2 linked regions of the Arabidopsis thaliana genome follow. The protein of the gene in region 1 interacts with the protein of each later gene in a pairwise test. Each region holds a gene or a part of one and is shown in the gene's direction. Other genes may lie near its edges.

Region 1 (4,172 bases):
CTATCGTATTTCATATCTCAAATTAGTTTTTTCTTGGATTTATAATTATTTTCAATATTTAACTATAAATCTATATTATTGGATTATTATTATTATTATTAGATTTTGTTTGTTATTGTTCAAGAACATGATGATCTGAGCACGAGTTTAGATATAGAAGCTCTTAGAAAAAAATAAGCTGAGCTGAGCTAACTTATGAAATATCCGAACTCATTATGAGCTGACTAATATATTGAAGCTAACTCACAGAAAAAGCTATCAAGAAATTTTAATATGAAAAAACTAAAAAAATAAATGAAAGTAATATTTTTTTCTGAACACAAAAATGAAAGTATTTACTATATATATACTCTTGACCAAAAAGAGAAATGATATTTTTACTCACGACATTACGTCGATTAGAGAAAGTGTGGCGTAAATCACGTGAGATCAAAATAGGAAACTCAGCAAGAAACCTATTATTCACTTATATTGATATGACCTGCAGTGAGGTTACTTATTTGATTTAAAAAAAAAACTGATTTATTTGGTGTGCATAATGTTTTTTGTTGTTCACTGCGGGCCGGTCGATGTTTTTTAACTAAGAAAATTAAATTTTAAGTTCTTGCTAAAACAATTTTGAATTTTATATTTTATTTATTTTGTTACAGTATTTAATATTATATAAATGTATTTTGAGTGGTAATTTTAGGATTTTACATGCGCTATACCATTCCAAATTAATATCGACCCAAACTTATCTCACAGTATAACCCCATTATGTGAAATTAAATATCACTTTATTATTTTTCATTCCAATTATACTTTTATTTAAAACACATATTCATGAGTCACCCATAGTATGTTTGCTTATATTGTGACCATAATATTCCTTTCGTTGTGATCCATGTTGCCAAAACAGACATCAATTAATGAAATTGTGTGTATTTCGTCCATGTTTACTCAAAAAAGGTCAATATCTTTAATGTGATCAGCAATGTGACTTACGAATTCCCCGAATTCCACCAAAACACCTGATTGCATCACTTTTTTAATGTTTCTGAAGCTTACAAATATCATGGGCAAAACTCCAGCAAAGCCATAAATGGTTGGAGAAGAAAATCTAGTTACATCTAAGGGATGGTCCGATAGGTACACAAATGCCTCTATCATAGAACTTATTTCATCTCTTTCACTACTTTTAAATAAACATCTAAGAACACCTTCTACGTCGAAAACCTACAATGTGGCTTAAATTATTGTACGTAGGCAATATATCTTCTGAATTTGCATTCTCCGACCAATCTATCATCTGCTGGAAATGAATAACAAGCTCCACTGAAATCTCATTGAAATTAGAAAATACTCTATCCACTTTCATCATTGAGCTGCCGCAACCTTGACTAAAAGCAAAGAAATCGTTTTCCAAATCTCGAGCTTACCATATATTCGATACATTCATGAGATAAAGCTTCATTGAAGCCAACATCCTTCAAGCCTAATCAATAAAGGCCACACAAGTTGTAGTTTTGTCCTCCATTGATAAAACAAATTTTATGATAATAGGAATAAGGTACAAAAATATATTTTTTGATGCAATACATGTTGCCAAAACGTATATCAACCAACGAAATCTTATGTACTTTGTCCATTAATCAGTATGATTCACAACTTCCTTAAATTCCACCAAAATTTCGGACTTTGGCCTATTCAAACCCATTAATGACTGTTTAAAAGCTTTGGCCTAAAGATTAATGTTAAGATGTTGTCATCTTTGGTTTCCATTGATTTAATCATTTCTTTCTTTATTATGCACACTTGGCCAAGTGTTATCATTTTGAGCAAAACCAACTATACCGGTTTTCTCCTAACCGGAATAAACCGAAGTAAACCGGATATCACATCATCCGTTCACTCTCTTTAGCTCTTAAGGCGAAAAAAGCTTATCTTCTTCATCATCTCTTTCCTCAATCGGAGTGAGCGCAAAAAATCAAAAATTCGCCGAGAGCACAAACCCTAATGGCTTCTCTCTCAATGGCTTCCGTTAACGTTAGCTTCTGTCATCCTTTACGCTCTTCTTCTCCAAAGGTCTCACTTCGCAGTTCCGTTCATTTCGCGACGAGTCTTTCCTCAAGTCACTCCATTTCTGGGCTTCGCGCTGTTTTGCCTCTGAAGATTTCTACAGTTGCTTCCCCCAATTCTCAAAAGCTTCATTCTTTTACCGTTTTCGCTCATAAGGGCTACAAGATGAAGACCCACAAGGTACTTTTCCCCTATCTCTCTCACTTTCTCTGCATTTCTGGTTTTTGGTTAAGTTGAGCTGAAATTGAAGTGAAGTACTATGATTTGGAGAGTATAGTGGCGGAAATTGGAATATCAATGCTTTGAAAGTTTGGATTTTTCTTCGGTTCACTGGCTATTCTTGTGTCTATTGGTGTCATAGTGATAGACTTAAGAGTATATCTGGTGAAGTTTGAGATTACTGACACTGAGAACTTCATATTAGCTTTAGAAGTTTTGAATTGTTTCAGTAAAGGTGTTTCCTTTTCTTGATTGGTGTTAAGTCTTTGTTGAATGGAATTATGAGAATGTGTAATGTATTTTGTTGATAGGCCTCAGCGAAGCGGTTCAGAGTGACGGGTAGAGGGAAGATTGTGAGGAGGAGATCTGGAAAGCAGCATTTGTTAGCTAAGAAGAACAACAAGAGGAAATTACGTCTATCGAAAATGGTTCGTTTTCTTTAATCTTGTTTGGTTCTGCATATCGTGATGGGTATATAGTTTTGTGTGTGTGAAATGCATTCGTATTTTCTGAGCTTTAGTGATTAGCTGTGAGTGGGTTTTGCTGAATGTTTCAGCATGTGGTATGAATCGTTAGGAAAAGAACATGCTCTTAGCAAACAAAAACTCATGTTATCAACCCAGTTATGACTTGTTTGCTAATGTCTTGGTAGTAAATATACGGTTTCGTTTGTCGAAAGACATATTTTTGAACTTCAAACCGTGTCTTTCATTGTGCATTTGCCTCTGTGCACCTCTCGCTGAATCTCTTAAATGGGGGATTAACGCTATTGGCAGAATTATACCCTTGATATGGAAACCATGCGATTGATATCTGCAGTGGCTTTCATTAGAAATGTGGCTAAGGGAGAAATCTATTATCATCAACTAGTATAAAAGAAAAACAAAACTAAATCTTGTGGCATCAATCTAATGATCACAAGTTCAAGTTATTACTTGTTTTGGCTTTGTTAATTAGCAACTTCGCTGCTCTGTTCTCTCTTACACGTTTAGCTTTGTGTTCTGTCTTCTGTATTGCAGACGGAAGTGAACCGGAGCGACTATGACAACGTGATCGGAGCTCTGCCCTACTTGAAAGTCAATCGAAAGGCGACTTAAGCAGAGCAGGCTTGATCCTTTTCTTACCTGCAATTCTCATTTTGTAATCTAAAGTTGTGGTAATATCCTTTTGTATTGTGATATAATTTGGTCAATGAGTTGATTTTTGTTTCATATTTGTGTCTTCTTTTTCTTGTCTCGCATGACAACTATTCTAGGTGTAACATATACCTCATCAACGAGTTTGGTCATTGATCAATGATTTGGGTTAAGAAATCAGAGACAGATATATCTTAAAAGACTTCAAAGTATTATAATCACACCAATCTCACTTATGACACTTTTCAAGTCTCACAACCCAATCCATTATTTTTTTGTTGTCAAAAGCATTAAGATAAAATGCGGCTGTGATAGTGACTCACTAGCTAATGCATTGACAATGGGAGTTCATTAGATAAAGAAAAAATACAGTACAGTGTAATGTTTACTATATTAAATGTTCGGTTCTCCGGCCAAATAGATGTAAATCTTTGAGTAATTAAAAAAAAAAAATGTTCACTAACTCTGGATTTAGTTATATGGGTTGTCAAACTTGTCATTGCAACAACATTCTTATAAATTATAGACTATAAAATATAAATCATGATCAATATTTTATTTTACTTACCTATATTAAATTAAAATATCCAAATTTAAAAAATTCTAAACATAAAATTGGAAAATTTAAATCAAAGTGACACCTAGTTGTAAAATTTTAATAGATTTATTTTTTAATGTCAAAAATGCAAACACAAAAAATATTATAATCATCTTTTTTTTTTACATATATTAAAGTAATAAATTATGATTGGATTC
Region 2 (5,697 bases), on another chromosome or scaffold:
AAACTCCATATGAACAGAATGTCGTTTTCTGGGATGCTTCTCTCTCTCTCTCTCCTCTCAAGAATTGAATACGAAGATAAAAAAAAAAAAAAAAAAAAAGAGCTTCGATGGACAGAAAACGATGAGGATGTCTTTCTCAAAGTTTGCGTCTTTTTTTTTTTCCTCTTTCCTTGCAGTTGCGGGTAATGTAAAAAAATTATTTACCTCTGAATGATTCCGGTTTTGTTGCTGTGTGCTATGTTCGGTTTGGTTTCTATGCTTCGGTTCAACCAAACAATCTAATGATTATGGCAAGCAGAATAGTAAAATAGAAAAAATGTGTAAAACATCTATAGAACACATATGTATATACATGCTGAGCATCTTTAAATCCACAAAAATACTACTATTTGAGCCGAATCTACCAACTAAACTAAACCTGGTTTTAAAATTATCCGGTTTATTTGAGAGTTTCAACAACAAGCGCGCTTAGACCATCATTATTCATAGTTTATAAGGTTAGTTCTTAGATAAAGTAGGTCTTAAATTTAATGTTATAATTCAATTAATTGTTAAAAATGACTCTTATATAAGAGCCAAATCTAATGTTTCTTAGGTTAATTCTTAGATAAATTAGGTATTAAATATAATGTTTTAATTCAATTAATCTTAATTCTTAGATAAATTAAGTATTAAATCTAATTGTTTGTCATATTTGTTTAAAATTTTATGTTATGTATGTTTCAAATTTTTTGAGTTGTAATAATTATTAAGTTTTTTAAAATTATAATGTTTCTACTTTTTTTCCAATTTTTTTTTTAAGAACTCAAGTTAAGAGTCCACCATTGCATATTGCCAAAATTTCAATCTCTTAACTAAATTCTTAACTTCAAAATTTTCAAAATCAATTATAAAAATATTCATAAGAACTATTAAGATTATGCTAAGAAACTACTATTAATGATACTCTTATGATGGCTATATGATATAAAAAGATTGACCACTTACCAGGTGTGTTTGCTACGCGTGACTTGAAAGCTCTACAAAATGTTTCTCTTAAGTGGGAGTCGTGGAGGTACAAAAAGCTTTTCACCTTTGCTTTTAATAGGATGAATGAAATGATTTACAGTTATCTGATTAGGTTGAATTTGTCTCATGGTTTTCTGGTTAAAAAAAAATGCTACGCGTGAGGCTTCTTTATTGTGTTTCTGGTCAGACGTATAAAAGGTTGAAACTTCAAATTGAAAATGTCGTGATGAGCTAATCTAGATTAGAGTACGTTTAATTCGTTTGAACTCGGGATGAGCTTAAACCAAACTAAAGATCTTTGTGCCTTTTGGGATATGACTTTTTGTTGTGGACTGTTTTTTTGTTTTTGTTGTGGACTGTTTTTTGTTTTTAATTAGTATGTACAGTGTATGTGAACAAAAGAAGTAATCAGTGTATTGGGCTTGGAAGGCTCATTCTTGGGATGGGCCTTAGTACTAACAGATTCAGAAATCTTCTATTTGATCCCATTAAAGTTCACTAACCTGTACTGTATTTGGTGAAGAATCAAATATATATAAGTGTATATATATATATATAAGTATATAGATAATTAATATAATTACATGCAAAATTTTAATTATATAGATAATTAAAGTTTATATATTAGTTATATATATTTATAATTGATTGAATTCATAAATAAACTTTAATTATCTATATATAAGTCAGTTCTCATTATCCATATATATATGTATGTAAAGTTTTGCATGTTATTTAATTCAATAAACTTAATTTTGCTTTTTAAAACATTAAACATCAATTTTTAGAGAAAGAAAAGTATATATAAAAAGAGAAAAAACTAAAATGGCATTTGTTATAATTTTGGTGTGAAAAGGAGGGAGAGAAAAAAACAAAAAAACAAAGAGGATTTAAGGGTTACGAGTCGCCTCCCCAAAACCCTTGTCCCTAGTCTCTTCTGCTTCTTCTTCTTCAAAATCTCTCTCTTCACCAAATCCTCAGAAGATGAGCAACGACAAGGATAGCTTCAACGTCTCCGATCTTACTGCTGGTAAAATACTCCTACTCACGATTACTCTTATCTCTTTCTCCGCCTCTTAAGCCAGAGCTGCTTTAACCCTAATTTCCTCTGTTATCTGACTGGTGTTCCTTTTGTTTACTGTTTTTTTGCAGCTCTTAAGGACGAGGATCGAGCTGGCCTTGTCAATGCTCTAAAGGTGAGTTTTTTTCCCCTTCTGTAAACTGTCCCGTGAGCATTTGCTATTGAAAGATATGGAGGATGTTGAGTTACTTTCCTCTGATTGTTTAGATACTATAAGCCGTGTCTTGGTGTTTAGTGTTTTGGTTTCAATGTCATTCTTCTAGTACAATGATAGTTTATGAGTTGTTAATACATTGTTATTAATTCACAGAACAAGCTGCAGAATCTGGCTGGTCAGCGTTCTGATGTGCTCGAGAATCTGACTCCCAATGTGAGAAAGCGCGTTGATGCCTTGAGGGATATACAGGTTAGCGAAATTTCTTTCACATTTTACCAAACTATGTGTGCTATATATCGTTTAATGGGGTTTGTTTTGTTTTGTGTGAGTTTTCTCCCTGCTTATCTGAATTTAAAGTTTCAAAAGTAAGGTGTTGCGTTTTGATTACTGATGACTTCTTTCCACGCAGAGCCAACATGATGAACTAGAGGCAAAATTCCGTGAGGAGAGAGCTATTCTTGAAGCCAAGTATCAAACGCTGTATCAGCCTTTGTATGTCAAGGTAATTGTTAATGAGAAAGTTTTACAAACCATTTTACTAAACTCAATGTAGATCTGTGTATACTCTTTTTGCTTATGTTTACTTATCTGCAGCAGTGTTAGTTTTCTATGTGCATCTTAATGAATTCTACTTGGTATCTTGTAATGGCACAGCGTTATGAGATTGTGAATGGCACTACTGAAGTTGAACTGGCTCCAGAGGATGATACCAAGGTGGACCAAGGAGAGGAGAAAACTGCAGAAGGTAACTTCATGAGCACTATGTCTTCTTTGTTTGTTGTTAATCTTTTTGGAAAGACAAAAACAATTTAACATTTTTCTCTGTTTTTCATTGCAGAGAAAGGAGTTCCAAGTTTCTGGCTGACAGCTCTGAAAAATAACGATGTTATTTCCGAGGAGGTAGCCTATATGCAGTTTTGGTGTTCGTTTTATAAACACTCCAATCATAACCATGGAATATGAGCATAACTTATTGTCATTTATGTCAGGTCACAGAGCGTGATGAAGGGGCTCTCAAATATCTTAAAGATATTAAGTGGTGCAAGATTGAAGAGCCTAAAGGATTCAAACTTGAGTTTTTCTTTGACACGAATCCGTATTTTAAGAACACTGTCTTGACAAAGTCTTATCATATGATTGATGAAGATGAGCCACTGCTTGAGAAGGCTATGGGGTAACTACTTATACTCTCTTGCAATTGTTGTATACTTTTAAGTATATTCTGCTTATTAGCTGATTGCATTGAGCTGCTTATTTTTTTTCTTCGCTTATATTGCAAATGGATTCTTATTCTTTCACCATTCATTTTCAGGACAGAAATTGATTGGTATCCTGGAAAGTGTCTAACTCAGAAGATTCTCAAGAAGAAGCCTAAGAAAGGTTCAAAGAATACTAAACCAATCACCAAACTCGAAGATTGTGAAAGCTTCTTCAACTTCTTTAGTCCTCCAGAAGTTCCGGATGAAGATGAAGATATCGACGAGGAAAGAGTAAGATAACGATTGTTAGAAAAACCTGTCATCATTTAGTTAATGTATTTAGTAACTCTTTCTCGTTCTTTGATGCAGGCTGAGGATCTTCAAAACCTGATGGAACAAGATTATGACATCGGGTTCGTCTTTTTCTAAACACACTTTCTCTGTTGATTTTATGGGTTTGCTTTTGAGTCATGGGACTACTTTATCACTGCAATCAAGGTGGTTACCCTTTCATTATTATCTGATCACAAGTACTTTTTACTTTCTGCAGATCTACTATTCGGGAAAAGATTATTCCTCGTGCTGTCTCATGGTTTACTGGTGAGGCTATGGAAGCAGAGGATTTTGAAATAGATGACGATGAGGAAGATGACATTGATGAGGATGAAGATGAGGAAGACGAAGAGGATGAGGAGGACGATGATGATGAGGATGAAGAAGAAAGCAAGACCAAAAAGAAGGTATAAAGTGCCCCAAGTATAGTTGTTTCTTTTTTTTTTTTTTTTCTTCATGCCACGTTAGTTTTTTACTAATCCTTTGAAATCGCTTAATATTTTTTTTTGCAGCCATCAATCGGCAACAAGGTATGTAACCTTTCAGAACTAAAGTTTATTTGATTTTGGAACTCCAACATTCAAATAACCAAACACAAGAAGTTTCAGGCTGAGCATTGTGATGAAAATAGAAATTAATATCGGAAATGTAGGCTCTAGAGGCCCATGAATCATACAGATTGCTGAAAGTAACTGAGCAATCCTAAAAAGTATGAATCAGTAAATAGGTAGTTACGTAGAAGACTCTGAGAAGGATACATGAATGACACAGCAGAGACTAAACAAGCTCTTTAATCATGGCATGGGCAGTACGAGATAGAACCATTCTCATGAATTCATTTTATTACTATAGTAGCAAACTAGCAATCAGTGTCTATGTTTGTGATAAATGTGAGAATCATCTGCTTAATTTTTTTTTCCTCTTGGACTGCAGAAGGGAGGGAGATCTCAGATAGTTGGTGAAGGTAAACAAGATGAGAGGCCACCCGAATGCAAGCAACAGTAATCTTTTACTACGCTCTACCAGACATAAAAGGATTGCGTGAAAATATAATTCAGGTCATTCTCTGTTCATCAAGAATGAGGATTGAGAAAAGGTTTTGGGATTTTTAAAAGTGAAATTCATCTTGTAGGAGTTTCGTTCGTTTTTCTATTGGTGTGTTTATTTTCTCTAAAGCACTTTAATAATATACCTTGGTATTTAATTTATGAATCAAGCATCATCATCCCTAGTCTCTGCATTCACTACTTCATCCCCTACCTAAACTTTGTCGACGAAAGAGATTTTAATAACCATTTAGATAGTAATGGGTAGTGGGAATGATCATTATTCTTTTGTTCACCGTCCTTTGATTTTCAATGGTAACCATTTTGTTGTGTAAGACTACAAAAGATGAATAATTGGACTATGACCATATTATATTAGTCAAGTCTAAATCGGTCGAAATCAGTTCACCTTTAAGATGAGTAATTTGACTAAATGCCTCCGCTTGTTCAACACTAATTATAATTTAAATTATTGTAGAAGGAAAACACAAAGAAAGTGAGGTTCCGAACATCCACAATTTGGACTAATCACATACTACTTAAGAAGTTTAATGCATCATTAGAGCTAAATGAGGGGAAAAAAAAGCTAGCTAAATAAACTTGAGACACTTGTTTGTGTTTGGTGTTATGAAAAACAAACTCAAAAGTCGCAACACTGTTTGGTAAATTGGAGACATGCGAAGAGGGGACCGCTTCGTTACCATTCAGAGTATTTGACGTAATATATTCCGTTTTAAGAAACCTATCTAGTTTCCAAGAAATTTACTAATAAAGGTGCTTGAGAAAGACCGTTGTTGATGATACGTTTTTTTATTTGCTAATGAAACGATTCGGTCGTTGTTTCTTGAAATTCCACTGTTATTAGACTCTTGA

Evidence for each region. The genes of interacting proteins can lie anywhere in the genome.
Region 2: the proteins of PRPL35 (region 1) and NAP1;1 interact in a two-hybrid assay, tested with the Arabidopsis thaliana proteins (2 studies listed by BioGRID).

What each region holds. Positions count from the first base shown.
Region 1 is NC_003071.7:10,240,040-10,244,211, forward strand, and holds PRPL35 (Ribosomal protein L35), read left to right. Parts: upstream 1-1,835; 5' UTR 1,836-1,998; coding exon 1,999-2,241; intron 2,242-2,591; coding exon 2,592-2,708; intron 2,709-3,299; coding exon 3,300-3,377; 3' UTR 3,378-3,635; downstream 3,636-4,172.
Region 2 is NC_003075.7:13,230,720-13,236,416, forward strand, and holds NAP1;1 (nucleosome assembly protein1;1), read left to right. Parts: upstream 1-1,848; 5' UTR 1,849-1,992; coding exon 1,993-2,038; intron 2,039-2,160; coding exon 2,161-2,204; intron 2,205-2,399; coding exon 2,400-2,495; intron 2,496-2,655; coding exon 2,656-2,748; intron 2,749-2,900; coding exon 2,901-2,991; intron 2,992-3,084; coding exon 3,085-3,146; intron 3,147-3,235; coding exon 3,236-3,420; intron 3,421-3,558; coding exon 3,559-3,736; intron 3,737-3,814; coding exon 3,815-3,858; intron 3,859-3,995; coding exon 3,996-4,185; intron 4,186-4,290; coding exon 4,291-4,308; coding exon of another isoform or gene 4,309-4,341; exon of another isoform or gene 4,342-4,711; coding exon 4,712-4,783; 3' UTR 4,784-5,189; downstream 5,190-5,697. UniProt on the Arabidopsis thaliana protein: May modulate chromatin structure by regulation of nucleosome assembly/disassembly. Contributes to the regulation of cell proliferation and cell expansion. May function in nucleotide excision repair (NER). Involved in somatic homologous recombination.